2 linked regions of the Xenopus tropicalis genome follow. The protein of the gene in region 1 purifies or fractionates together with the protein of each later gene. This does not show direct contact. Links are inferred from orthologs where the notes say so. Each region holds a gene or a part of one and is shown on either strand. Other genes may lie near its edges.

What was found.
Region 2: the proteins of bcar1 (region 1) and bcar3 purify together in Homo sapiens (co-immunoprecipitation; 4 studies listed by BioGRID and IntAct, counting the BioPlex papers as one, with this or other methods). This does not show direct contact. The link is inferred for Xenopus tropicalis from reciprocal best matches to the Homo sapiens genes BCAR1 and BCAR3.

The regions. Positions count from the first base shown.
Region 1 is NC_030680.2:48,739,703-48,747,256, reverse strand, and holds part of bcar1 (breast cancer anti-estrogen resistance protein 1), read left to right. Parts: intron 1-2,575; coding exon 2,576-3,319; intron 3,320-7,554. UniProt on the Homo sapiens protein: Docking protein which plays a central coordinating role for tyrosine kinase-based signaling related to cell adhesion. Implicated in induction of cell migration and cell branching. Involved in the BCAR3-mediated inhibition of TGFB signaling.
Region 2 is NC_030680.2:103,998,365-104,005,918, reverse strand, and holds part of bcar3 (breast cancer anti-estrogen resistance protein 3), read right to left. Parts: intron 6,573-7,554; coding exon 6,441-6,572; intron 3,233-6,440; coding exon 2,790-3,232; intron 1-2,789. UniProt on the Homo sapiens protein: Acts as an adapter protein downstream of several growth factor receptors to promote cell proliferation, migration, and redistribution of actin fibers.

The sequences.
Region 1 (7,554 bases):
TATTGTCACGTTGGAAACAGTGAATTGATATTCTGAAATATCACATCCATCAGTGGTAATAAAGAAATAATAAAATAACCATTGATATAGAAAAATAATTATTCAAATCAGAAAAACAAAAATATCTCAAATAATTGAGACACGTTTTATGGTGTAAGCCTGGTCATCATTTCTTATTATTAAGCTAACTATTTCTCTTTACAGTGTGAGGAGGTGGGTAGGTAACTTATCGTTAAACCTATACTTTAGCTAGGATTTCCATACTATCTGAAACGTTTTAAGTCTATCTATAGCGATGCTAGTTAACTTCTCATTAATAAAGATCCCATCAATCTTATTTTTAAACATAATGAAGTTTATTGTTGGGGGACTTACAAGACTTTGCTATCGTCTGTCTAGCGGCTAGGAATATATGAGTTAGGAGTTATTGTGAATGGTAATCCCATAAGGGCTTTATATGGTTTAATTGTAAAAAAGAGAAAATCAGGTTGTAGACTCTTAACCAGAATCTGATTACTTTTGGGCAAGGCTACCATATATGCCCCATAGTACCTGGAGTTGAACAGCCTCTAATACAAGTGTCGCTTGGGCCTTGATATATATATATATAAGTCTGAGGTTAAATACCAGTGAAAAAGGAACTTATAACTGGCTTTGGATAAAATTGTATTGGCTGAGCTGTGTTTTAAGTTGTCTCACATTTGGGACCATTGATCCTCTGTTAGGTTTGTGCCTAGGTCCCTATGCTATTGTTTATTGTATGAAATTTCCATAAGGTTCTTAGGTGAGATCAAATTACGATAGATAGGAGATTAGATAGCTTTGGGTGGGATAGTGTTGCTTGAACACCATCTCTCAAAAAAGGTGGATGGAGCCTGTTCTGAGTGTCTCTGCCCCTAACTGATGAGTAAATTCTTTATCCTAATGAATTTATTAGCAGTCCACCATTTAAATGCATTCGGTTGTAGTCCTGGGAGAAATAGGGGGTTACTTGTGATGGGAGATATCGAGGAGTCAAGGCATATAAAGTGACATAACGATCCCAAAGGGATAATGTCACCTGTACATTTTATTCACTAGTTGCCATTTGTTTTAGAAGAAATTCCAAAGACTGGATCCTCTATTCTTAGAAAAGCATGTAAGTTGGTTCTTTGGTGCCTGCCTGCCCTCTCAAATAGAGGAATTATTTAGAATGGCTTTGAACTTAATTATCTTGACCTCTGTATCCTAGCTGCAAAATATTTTACATTCCTCACTCGCACTTTCTAAGCCACCAACAATTTCTGCTCAGTGTGAGTTCTTTTTTCATACTTCTGGGATTAGAATTAGATATATATTTTAATTTTTGTGTATTGATACTTTCTTTTTCTTGTAAAGTCCTGCGGTCACAAGATAGTATATGTTCTAATTATGCAGCTAGAGTGTATTTTATAACTATGCTGGCTATGTATACAACCCTTGCATATTAGGGTATTTGATTGTAGCTAGGTCTACTCCCACCCCCTCCACAGAGAGCAAGTTAGGATCACCTGCTCCTTTGCAATTTTTTTTTTTTGCATGCATTCCAGTAAAAACAAGATTAGTGAGAATTGTGTGTGTAGTAGCTGCTGTAGTAACACCTAGTACTCTTAAAAAAGTCATCTTATTGCAACTGTACCTTGTATTTATTTGTATTTATTGTTGTACTTTGTATTTATCCATTATCTTTAACCCCCCTGTCTGTATTAATGAATTCTACTGTACAGCGCTGCGTACATAAGTAGCGCTTTATAAATAAAGATATACATACATACATACATAAATACGCCTCTAAAAATCCACTTGAATAGAGAGTGACTGCGGTATCCTCCAGTGAACTGTGGCAAGCTCTTTTACCGAATGTGCCCCGTAGTGTCTAAAGATAATGGTCATTCATTTTCTTTTTCTCTTTAGAAATTTGGCGAAATCGCCTGCGCAGCGTGTGCCATCCCACCGGCGACTTACATTTTCGCCGGTGGGATGGCAATGCGGGGAGATTAGTCGCCCGCGAACAGGGAGATTTGTTGCGGGCGACTAATCTCCCCGTGTGCCAGAACCCTTAGAGGCAGAAAACAATCATTGTATTGTTGTGGCTGCTATGCAGGCTCTGCTTTACTCCTGGTTCCTTTGTATTGAGGACTTTATGACATTTTACAGTTCATACAAAAATGTTGAAACATTGCTTGTCTCTTCAGTGTTGTGACAGGCAAACATTTTTTTTCCCACAGTCAACTGTTTTTATCAATGGGCTTAATTTAAACTGTTGTCCTTTTCAGCTGCCACTGCTGTGTTCTTATCTGACCTATAATGGGAGATATTTATCACAGACAGATAAAGGAAATATAAGTGTAGGCTTTTTTAGGGTCTGAAAGGGGCCATTTAAGGATTTGTCATGATTTATGTAACTTTAGAAATTTTCATTAGAGCAAATGAATTGACTAATATTACAAATACATGTTACCTGTTTAAAAGAACCTAAAAACACCTTTGTAAATAATGTGATTGCTTTCTAATTTAAGAAAAGATTCAATAATTTCCTACTATTTTGTTCTTGCAGAATGTGTTGGCCAAAGCTCTTTATGATAATGTGGCTGAGTCACCTGATGAGCTGTCTTTTCGAAAGGGGGATATCATGACTGTTCTTGAACGAAACACTCAGGGTCTTGAAGGCTGGTGGCTTTGTTCTCTACATGGAAGACAGGGGATTGTCCCAGGAAACAGGCTGAAGATTCTGGTGGGAATGTATGACAAGAAACAGGGTTCTGGTGACCAGTGTCAACAGAAGCCTCAGCAACAAACACAACAGCAGCCGCCCCAAATTCCACTGAATTATCAACCCCAGGGGGTCTATAATGTGGTCACATCATCAAATCAGTATACACCAATGCATTCTGCTTACCAGAGCCCAGGTGGAGAACACGTATATTTGATGCCAGCATCTTCTAAGGGGCAGCAGGGGCTCTATCAGAACCCTCAGGGGCCACAGCATCCAGGGCAAATAACCCCATCAAAACAACCCTCCTTGTACCAGAACCAGCCTGCTCAGCACCCATTTCCAAGCCAAGTACAAGACATCTATCAGGTTCCACCATCTTTGAACCAATCACAGGAACTCTACCAGGTTCCAGTGGGATCCATAAGTCCTCCTCAGCCTCACGATGTTTATCAAGTCCCACCCTCTTCTGGAACAGTACAAGACATATATCACGTTCCACCTTCAATTACCTCTTCACAGGAAATATATCAAGTGCCACCATCCATGGATATGAGGGCAGTGGAGGTCAGAAAGGCGCCTGGGAAGGTACAGTCTAACTTTTTTATGGGTTACCTTTTTTGAAGTCAACAATAAATTTGTGTGTTTTGCCTATACACATTCTAAATGCTAACGAGATTGAATTTGTGATTTCATAGAATCAGCACTAATAAACGTCTGTAACTTTGATGAACTTGGAACAAATCATCTTGTTTTTATCAGCTGGAAGAGTTCTACAACATATATCGTTTTATAGGTAGTAATAAACCTGCTATACCTGATGCAACCAGTTTATGCCTTTATGAAAATAGATCTATTTTTTTTATAGATCTATTTTTGCATCATTACATGTAAAGATGTATCAAACCATTAAAATAAGAAAACCTGCCCAAGAACCTTCGGCGTTAAGTACAGTGTTTTTTCTCTGGAGTGTACTTCTAAGCCACATGCATGGCCCAGATAATTCTTCTAATGGGTTTTCCAGTTTCAGCAGCATGAAAATCAGATTTGACTAAACTTTGACATTCAGTTGGCAAACACATTAGCAATCTCACAAATGTATGCATATATTTTCATGTAATATTTTCAAAGAATATATTAGTAGGATAGACTGGAAACAATACAATAATAAAACATAAATGTATACAAAAAATATCATTGCATTCAAGAATAATTGCTAATTGTTAAGGGACACAGGAGGAGGGAGGTCCTGCCCTGTAGAGCTCATGTAAAAAAAAAAAAAAGTTTTTAATTTTGCTTGAAACAATTTGTAAAATTGTCTAGTTTTCAAAAGCAATGTAATACAGTACTGTTGGAAAACTTATTGGCACTTTCTTTATTTTCCTGGTACTCACGTGACTCCAGTGTGGCAAACAACCAAAACCATATATGTTTTTTTGGAAAGGATTCTATTAGAGCCATTGTCCCACTAGATTAGACTGATTAGAATCAATTATTCTTTATCTAAATGGCCCCATTATCTTACATGTATACTACATTGCTGCTTAAAATAGTTGTGGCTGATTTAACATAAAAATGAAAAAGATAAGGGGGCTTAAATGGATGCATTTAACTGTTAAACTATATATATTTATAAAATATAATCCTCACACCACAGGAAATTTTTATAGTGAACATGACTCTAAGGCCTAGGTCTGTTGTCGCTTTATAATGAAATGTATATAAAATGTTCTGCCTATAGCACACACTGGCAATGACAGGTGACTGCAAATAGCAAATTTTGAGCTTCTTGACCACACTCCTGCACAGGGCTGTGCTGGATTGTAACTTTAGGTAGAAAAAGTGTGGGGCTGTAGGAAAAGATAGCAACAGTTAATCTAGTGTTAACTGTAAGATTTTATATGATTCTTTCTTGATTTTTTACTATCTGCAGCCCTTTAGCTGATAAAGGGTGACAATCCTTATTTACAGTCCTTATTTATATAGGTATTATATTGTGCGCTTCTACCACTACAGTAAAAACAATGCTGTAAATGGACTCATAACCCTTTAACTGCCAGCAGCCAGGAATGCACTGGGACAGTACCTTGCAAGACAGTATGCTTTTTCAAATCTCTTTAAGGGGCACTGAACCCTTGAACATTGCATATATCAAGTATAAATGTATAGATTGACCCTATATAAAACACCTTTTTTTATATAAATAAGGCCTTTACATGAAAAATATATTTTTCTGTTAGTATGATCACTTATTGAAATAATGCATACCAGTTTACATCAACTAATGAATGGAGACAATAGTGTATTTTACTTCTATATTTCTTCCTATTGCAGATATTGTTGTCATATGATGTCTCAAGTATGATAAGTTGGTCATTTATTGTGATATATTATTTGTTGGTTAAGTTGCTGGCATGCTGAGTTAAGCTACTAATATAATAGGTAAATTTATTTTCCAGAGAAAAGGGATATGATGTGTTTGCTGTCCTGGAAGGCAACATTCAGCTGTCAGGTCACTAATTATAAATTTTCTAATTTTGATTAGACATGCATCCCATGCAGATGGGCACTGAAGGGCTGGCAGGCATTGGGCATGAACTCAGTGTCTGTGCCCAGCAGTTGTGCAAAGGAACAATGTAATCCTGTGCATGACAGAAGCTCTGCGAAATTTTTAAATTACTGTGAAAATTGTATCTATATTGAGACCTTGTTTCTAAAGAGAAGGCTTTTTCAAAATCAAGTAGACAGGAAAATTAGATCATGTAATAATGAGATGGAACGGATCTTTGTGAAATATTTATCTGTGTGTCTACATTTGGAAATCTATATGTAACATCTGCAGTTTAATATTTTTATCATACATAAAATATCACAGACTATTCAGGTTCTTCATGGCTCATTACATTTAGATTGGACCTACTCAGAATTGTAGATATGGCTTATTCTATAATAGGATACACTAGAATGTGAAAAATAAATTGCATGACCTCAGAAAGAGTCCTGTCCATGAAATCTATTTTTATACCATCACAGTTGGTTCCATCACAGTAAGGTTGCCATGGCACTGATGCCCTGTTACACAGTTGTACAAAAGACACAACTAGATGAAGCAGATGGTGTAACAGGCACCATATATAGAATGCTGTAGCCATCTACAACATCCCTTTTTATAAGCTGCTATGCAACACTAATGGCACATCTATAATTTTATAGCTGCATTTTTTTCAGGAATTAGGTTGCTTTACATTAGAATAAGTGGGAATCTCTAGACTTTTGGTACATGCCCTTATGAATTTGCAATCCAAGTGTCTATATTGCATGTCTAGCACCCTGGTGCTGCAAGGCAGCAGTGTTAATCATTGGGTTCGCTGTGCTGCCTAGAGGTCCACAAAATCACCAAAATTCCCAATTATTTTGACATACTGAAAAATCGAGCAAACAAATCTTGTCCTTGTGCAGTTAGCTTAAAAGTCTGTGTTGTTTTGATAATTGAATAGACCCCATATAATATGTTCTCCCACATATAAACATTAACATAAGTTTGCTTTATAAATGTAATTATTAGAAATTATTATAAACAGTAGTTGTCTGCTTTTCGCCTATTGAGGTCTGTAAAAATCACAGCTCTGCGCAATATGTTGGCGCTTTATAAATAATAAAAATAATAAAACTGACCAAACCTCCATTAGGTCTATGGTATGGGGACTTTTTGATCAATGGCTGCATCTATTTCTTTTACAACATTGGGTGCTTTGTACTCACCCTTAAAGTAGTAAAGCTACTTACATAGTAACATAGTAAGTTGGGTTGAAAAAAGACATACGTCCATCACGTTCAACCATAATGCCTATGTATAACCTGCCTAACTACTAGTTGATTCAGAGGAAGGCAAAAAACCCCATCTGAAGCCTCTCTAATTTGCCGCAGAGGGGAAAAAATTCCTTCCTGACTCCAAGATGGCAATCGGACCAGTCCCTGGATCAACTTGTACTAAGAGCTATCTCCCATAACCCTGTATTCCCTCACTTGCTAAGAATCCATCCAGCCCCTTCTTAAAGCTATATAATGTATCAGCCAGCACGACTGATTCGGGGAGGGAATTCCACAACTTCACAGCTCTCACAGTAAAAAATCCTTTCCGAATATTTAAATGGAACCTCCCTTCTTCTAAATGGAGTGGGTGCCCTCGTGTCCGTTGGAAGGACCTACTGGTAAATAAAACATTAGAAAGGTTATTATATGATCCCCTTATATATTTATACATAGTTATCATGTCACCTCTTAAGCGCCTCTTCTCCAGTGTAAACAAACCCAACTTTGCCAGTCTTTCTTCATAACTGAAACTTTCCATACCCTTTTTCAGCTTAGTTGCCCTTCTCTGGACCCTCTCTAACTCAATCATGTCCCGTTTGAGCACTGGAGACCAGAACTGAACAGCATATTTCTAGATGGGGCCTTACCAGCGCTCTGTAAAGGGGAAGAATAACCCCCTCCTCCCGTGAATCTATACCCCTTTTAATACAGCTCAAACCTTGTTTGCCCTTGCAGCTGCTGCCTGGCATTGCTTGCTACAGCCAAGTTTATTATCTACAAGGACTCCAAGGTCCTTCTCCATTATGGATTTGCCTAGTGCAGTCCCATTAAGGGTATAAGTGGCTTGCATATTTTTACATCCCAGGTGCATGACCTTACATTTATCCACATTAAATCTCATCTGCCACTTAGCCGCCCAGATTGCCAGTTGGTCAAGATCCTGCTGCAGGGATGTCACATCCTGGATAGAATTGACTGGTCTCCAGAGTTTTGTGTCATCTGCAAACACT
Region 2 (7,554 bases), about 55 Mb from region 1:
TGAGCATGTGTGTAACTTGATCCTGTCTCCTGTTCTGAGCTACACATGCCCACCAGCCAATCAGAAGCGGATCTGCCAGAGGGGAGGGGGGGAGGGAATGAAACACATGTGCAGGATGAAGCAAGGAGGGAAAGGAAGGGAGAATACCTTTTTAAAGATGGCTGCCTGTTCTAGAAAACAGATAGAAAATGTGAAGTAAGTGTGACTGAGTAAATATTTGATTAGGTGAGCCAAAAGTGTTTTTACTAAACAATAGGAGGACTATTGGGCAGTATGCTTTTTAAATTTTGACTTGCATTCTCCTTTAACGCCTCCAAGTGAACCTGACATATACTGACCTATCTATACACTTACACTAATTAACAGAATCTGCCATTACAACATCACTAGGAAGGGCATTCCCCAACCTCATTGCCCTCACCATGATACTGCTGCAAATGAAATTCCTTTCCTCTAATCTAAAGCGGTGGTCTCTGGTGGGAAAAAAAGAACATCCCCTGTCTGCCTCCCTACACAAGTGCCTTTTCCAGAGAAAACAACCCCAACATTGACAGTCTAACCTCATAGCTTAAAGGACATGTAAAGCCTACATTTGCCTACAATGTATATCAGTTGGGCACGTCTCCCCCACCCAAATGGCATCATTTGTACTGCATATATCCCCTCTGTTTGCCAGCACCATCACATTTTCCTAAAGCAAATAGCAGCTTTCACCCAGTGCCATTTTTCCTCTGATACATAACTGGGTACATTTAAATCTGCAAACAGCATATATACACACACACACACACACACACACACACACACCCTTATTCAGCATACATTTAATCAGGAATACAGGCTCACACAGGCAGAACTGTCTCTGATAAAAGTTCTGATTTGTTTGTTTGCTGAGCTCAGGAGAGGAGGTTAGGAGAAAAAAATTGAAGCAGACAGCTAGAGCTGAGTTTCTATGAGAACCAGCAATGCCATCTCTACTGGCTGCTAGACGGGGGGAGTGTTTAGTAATCTGAGTTTAGAACAACTGAGCATGCCCACAAGCCAACAGCCAAAGCAAATTCCTGAGGGAGGTGGGCGAGTGGGTTACAGGAGGAGAAGGAAATCTAAGTGATTAAGGGGACACTGCAGCCTTACTATTAACCTCTGGACAACCAGTGTGGCAGGTATTGAAAGATTTCAAAGAGGCTGTTCACTGATTACATTTTTGTGTGTGGGGTTTACATGTCCTTTAAATCTTCCATCCCCTTTACCAGTTTAGTTGCAGTTTCTGCACTCTCTCCAGCTCATTAATATCCTTCTTAAGGACTGGAGCCCAAAACTGCACTGCATACTCAAGGTGAGGCCTTACCAGAGATCTATAAAGAGGCAAAATGATGTGTAATCCCTTTATTTGCTTTAGTAGCCACAGAATGACATTTTCTGCAATTAGACAACTTGTTATCTACAAAAATCCCCAGATCCTTCTTAGTTAAGGATACCCCAACACACTACTATTTAGTGTATAACTCATGATTATATTATTTTTACCAAAGTGCATAACTTTGCACTTATCAACACTGAACCTTATTTCCCAGTTTGCAGAGCAATTTGACAAAATTGGAAAATGGCAGCAAAGTAGCAGCATCCTGCAAGGAACCTTCATTAGCTGGTTGTGTCAAAAATTAACAGTTCAGATTTCTGCTTTTTTCCCGTCATCAACCCACTGAGCCCCCCTCTGATAATAAGGGTCCCACCTCTATTCTTGCCAACCTAGAGACCTTTAATCCAACCATAAAGGTTTTGCAAATATACTGGCCTGTATACTTGTTAAGAAACATTATAAAGATATTCCATTTTCCTTCTGTGTTTAACCCTGTAAAAAGCCTTTCCCAGTTAATACATACACTATGTTATGATCACTGTTCCCTAAATGCTCACCCACACTAATGTTAGAGATGAGTTCAGAATTATTAGATATCACCACGTCCAAAAGAGAATCATTCCTAGAAGGTTCTTCAACAATATAATCCCTGGGATGTTTACTGATGGGATGTGAGGTGCATGTACCAATTGGAAGTTTAGTTAGTGCCCATCATCATAACTATACAATGGATATGCGGATAGCCTCTGATAAGCATAGGGGAATCCAGTTTTATTGGATGATGAATGTCACATGCACACGTGTCCAGCTTCAGCCAGACCTTCTCCAAAACCAAGCACAGAACAAATGAAATACATAAGGCACATGAACAGTAAGGTCACGGAAACTAATGTATGCAACGAAAACCCACATGTGATTAGTCGCAGCGTCTCATGTTGTACCCCGTGACAGAAAAGACGGTGTGATAAGTTACCCTGACCGTCTTTTTTTCTTAATAAATTTGTGGTGACTATTTTCTGATTGTGTTTTCGCCCTTAGTTGCCAAAAAGAGGTTGGATACCCAAAACTATTATGTGTTTAGAAAGCAATAGAGCTACTTCCTCCCTGAGCAGTCCCAGGTCAGGGCGGCTTTATTAAAAAGTCATTTCTTTGCAATCAAGCTATAATTTTAACATTGTCCCTGCTAATTTACCCACCAGACTGAACTTTTGATTTGTCCCAAATAAGCAATTATGTTAGTCCCAAATAAGCAATTATGCCCACCATAACCAAGGATGGAATTAGTGGTCTGCAGCAGAGGCAATTGGTAGGGGGGTCCAATAAAGGGGGGAGCAATTGGCAGGGTGAAGGGGCACCATTTGGGGCAAGCAAGTGGGAAAATAGGCCAAATGGTATTGTCTTGGACAGCAATTTACTACAATTTACCAACCTTAGGAGATTGCCCCTGGCAAGGCTCTGTTCCTGGGATACCCCCTGTCCAAAGTTAAGGCTCAGACGTTTAGGGACTTCAGCTTTTGCTTCCAAGGGGCCCAGTTCCAGCCGTCTAACTGGAGAGGTACCATACTTCTCCTCAATGCATCGAAGAGGCACTGTCCTGTTAATGGGTTGGAAAATGATGGCTCCACTCTGCTGCGACACGGCCTTGCGATTACCGACATAGTATCTAACCAAGGCAGGCATGCTATCGAAGCTTTCATGTTCCAACTGGTACTGGATCCGGCAGTAGGCTTCATTCAGCCTGATGACTACTTTATTTATTTTGAAATGTTGGGAGAGATTTTTCCACTGACAGGTGAGCACAAAGTTTCCAGGACTTGACAGAGAATCTCTTATAAGAAAATCCCCATCTCGTTTCACCAAGTTTTCAGATACCTGAACAATAGAGAACACAAATATTAAATGGAGGCTTGTATACCTATCCACCTATCAACACTGGCCATAGACATTAGAGAACTTAGTATTTCTAACCTGACACTGGTTTTTAGATTAGTAATATTCTCTCTACATTATATAGTATATCATTTCAGCCAATATGGCCCTAGTCGACAGATTCATGATCACAATATCTAAGGTAAGCAGCGGGATAAAAACATTTTGCTCCTAAAAGTAGTTCAGAAAGCTTTAGTGATTCTTTGCAGCACAAAAAAGAAAAGAAGGCCACCCTCTAAAACTGGAAGGAGGAAAACTTAGGAGAAAAAATATGTATCACATGACTCAAAGGTAGTTTTTAGCTGTATTACAAGCTGAGTGGGAAAAGGGCAATGCAGTTATACAGAAAACCTACCCCCTAGGGGAGGAGAGATGTGATAAATGGAAGCAGCTAATACATAAAGCAATGTCTCAGTTTTCTGAAGAAAGAATGTAGAGGAAACATGGTAACCTGATAACACCCTCATTCCTAGAAGACAATCAATATTTTCAAACAAAATAAAATGAAACGGAATGCTGGCGTCTAAAGAATAGGGTCCTACTTTACTACATATGGAATGACCTTGTGAGTAGAGCAATTACTATAGGAACTTAAACTGGTTGAAATACATCTCCCATCTGGTAAATTACTTTGACACACAAACAATTCAGGTATATTATATGCCTTCAACTTCAAATGCTATCTTTGGTTGGTCTGTGTTACAAAGAGGTGGTACATGGAGGAAGCACTGTATATACATAATATAATTGATACTGCTGCCCAAAAGAGAATGGAATGTCCAAAATGGAAGGCAAAATGAAAACAACCCTTCTAGGAACACACTTTTAACATTAGCACAATGAACACAGCTTCTGCTGTTGTTTTAATTACTCATGTTATTTGTTATTTCTGACACTGAACTGGACAAAATATGAAATTGAATGTACAGTCACAAGCTGCTCCTTATCAGAAAGTCTTGTGTGTGTGTGTGTGTTTGTGTTAAAAAAAAGCAGTAACCAAAACAGATAGGAGTATATTTCCCTATGTTATAGCTGAACAAAGCAGGATGAAGGTCAGTGTAGCAATATAAACCAATTTGGTACTCTGTGGCTTTATGTATATAGGCTATTTAGGTAGCTTGTTACCTACAGTACTAAACTTTGCTTTTTAGCTCCCAACCTTTCAGAGTTCCAGCACATATTATAATATAGTCTAGTATTAACTTGCTGCCTCAGGCACCAATGGACCGAATAACAATGGGTACAGTGCCGTGTATACTTTGTAGCATTATATGAGGAAAGAAAATTAACCCTGTGATGAGTAGTAGCGTATTTGATTTCTAAAGGAAATTAAAGGCAAGAGAGTGAGATGCAGGAAATCAGCTCAGGCCAATGCAAGTCTGGGAAATATTTAGTGTAGTAGCAGATTTGCTGAGAACTTTCTCGGTTCATAAAAGCTTAGTGTCACTTTTTATGAGCAGTGTAGGCCCCTGCTGTGGAAAGGGCTATTCTATGGAAATGCTTCTTTTATTTCTGCTTGTATGTGCAGAGGGAGTCTATAAAATGAAACCTGAGCTGTGTAGCCTTCTCTCCCACTTTCCATGGAGCAGGGAATTGCTGCCCACTAAATGTGTGATTCCCAGAGTCCAAGACTTGATTTCCTGGGTAACATTACACAGCTGCCAGAGCATTCAGCAAGTAAAAGGAAATCAAAGGGATCTGAGCTGGAGAAAGGACTCCAGTTGTTATGGTATTAAGTGGAGCCTACACCTGAACATGGGTACTATTCCTCCGGCTTAACATTATATATAAACAGAATGAGCAGTCATGGACCTCACAAGCTATTGATGCTCTTCAACCCACAGGTTTCCCGACAGCCATATTGCTTCAGATTTTCCCCTCCCCTTATAGCCTTTGTTAAACTTTTGTCCCCCCTCCACACCTAGCAGTTCTGAGATCCAGTCACTAGCGGAGAATTCTGGGAATTGTAGTACAGTAGTAGGGCAGCATTGCTGCATTGCTATGACTACAGGAAAGAAAGGAATCCCCCTCTCTGTAACACACAGCTTTACCGCTATTGTCTGAACTAAAATGAATGAGTGTGCAAACAAATAGCTTTTTAGCAAGAGTTTGGTATTTAGTGTGTGGGGCTTAGACCTTCCTGCTTTCATTTCTCATTCACAGAAAGGTGAGCTGAGCAAATAGCACACATGAATAGCTCTGCTGACTTCATTCAGGAACAGATCATACACCTGCGGCTCACCCTCTGAATCTATATGCGCAGCTCAGCCAGCAAAAGGTCACTGGGATGGACTCTCACTTAAAGCACCCACGGCTTGAATCTCTCTATGGAAATAAATAGTGCAGGTCTCTATACAAATATATCATATAAAACACTCCACAGTTAAAACACGGTTTCATATAAATATTTACACAGAAAATATATTTTTCTAATCACTGTTTATAAGTGAGTGTGGATCCTCATCAGTTTTAGGGATTATTATTGTGCTGGCTGCACCCAGGCGTTCTAAACTGTGCATTCTGGCACTCTATTGGCTAGACTGAAAAACTGCCACTCTGGCTTGTATGGGGGTTGTGCTCACACACAAACCAAGGACATGCATGCAAGCTATCTTTCATCAGCCAATGAATGGGCAGGGCTGCCGCTCATCTTCCCGTTACAGTAAGAACCTACAGTATTTCCTGTCAGGTGATCAGTGAGTAGCTGATGGTAAAAGCTGTAAAAGGGAAATATTAACTGATAACTATAAGCCACTTTGATAAGACTGGTTATTGCTAATTAGGATATAAATGACATGTTGTATTTCTTTTTTTACAACATATAATTCTGCTTTAAACTTGTTTCTGAAGCTGCAACGAGAAGAAAGGAGGAGATGAATATAAAAGGTACTCCTACAGATGCTCACCCACAAAAACAGGCAGGCCGGCTTCTTTCTAACTCTGCTTTTAGAATGCTTGCTGATGTCCTGCAGGCCACTCTGGTAAGGAAGAAATGAATGCCAGCCTATGGCTTTCTACCAACTACTGAGCTCCAGGGCCACTGGCTGGCTAAGCCTGCTGGGAGTTTATTTTATCCTTTCTTTGCCACTAGAAGGTAACAGTTGTGTGCAGGGTAAGATTTTCAGTTTCAAAGGGAGCAGTAGACACTGACCTGCCGTGGAATCCTCCCATGATACCAAGCATGGCTCCGTAAATCTTCACTGTTCAGCTTTAATTCTTCCTCCAACTCCTTCTTTAACTTGTCTGGGGTTCCACCATCCATAATATAGCGATCCTTGGAAAACTGCAAGACAAATCAGTGAGGCATAGCACAAGTAAGCTTTGTGTGTGCTCCTGTATCACCCAGCTTCTGGCACAGCACCCTCAACAAGAACTTTCGTTTTGTCTTCTGTCACCTACTGTCACTTGCTGCTGGGATGTGGGTGTAGCATTTCATAAGCCTGCCTGCCTCTGTGATCAAAGGCCGTCACGCAGGTTGGAACAGAGCAAGGTTGCACCTGCAGTCACATGCAGCACTCTAAATCTCCAATCTGCCCTTTGCACCGAGTTTATGAGTCATTACTTTAAGACATTGCTTTAACTATTAAATGACCAGCTATCCCAGGTCTAGATCATCTAGGAGAGAATGCGTAAGAGGATACGGATATTCCTAAATGCTGCAGTTCAGAACAAATTGCAAAGAGCTAGGTAAGTAATGTAAAGGTTTGTGTTCAAGTGTTATTTTTAAAAGTGAACCTGTATGCAGTTTTATATATAACAGTGAGAGCTAGAAAGTGTATGTACTGTACGCTAACAGACTGAGAAATAACACTGGGGTTATGCAGCAACCAATCAGCTGTTAGAATATATTGGTTAGGCAGTGGGTAAACACAGTAACTAAACATCTAATTGGTTGCTATGGTAATTTAAAACTAGGCAACACTGACCTTGTTACCATCCTGGTAGAAGGATGAATAAATATATAACAGGTGTAGTAAGGGTCAAATCTGGACCTTACTGTTCTTCAGAGCAAACCCATTTAATGATGAGCATTGCCTCTACCCATTCCAGTTGCCCTCTGAACTCATTGTGCTGTGAAAATGGGGCCTGTGCTGTAAATCTGTGCCGATAACATCAGAATATATAAAGGCGGAGAAGGAGGTGTGTCTGGGGGGAGTCCTAAGAGAGGAAATGACAAGAGCTTTGCCTCATGTCATTCACCTCCCAGAAAGTGCAGAGTTTTGTATGGGTCTAAGTTATGCTCGCTTGGTTACTGAACACTGGTC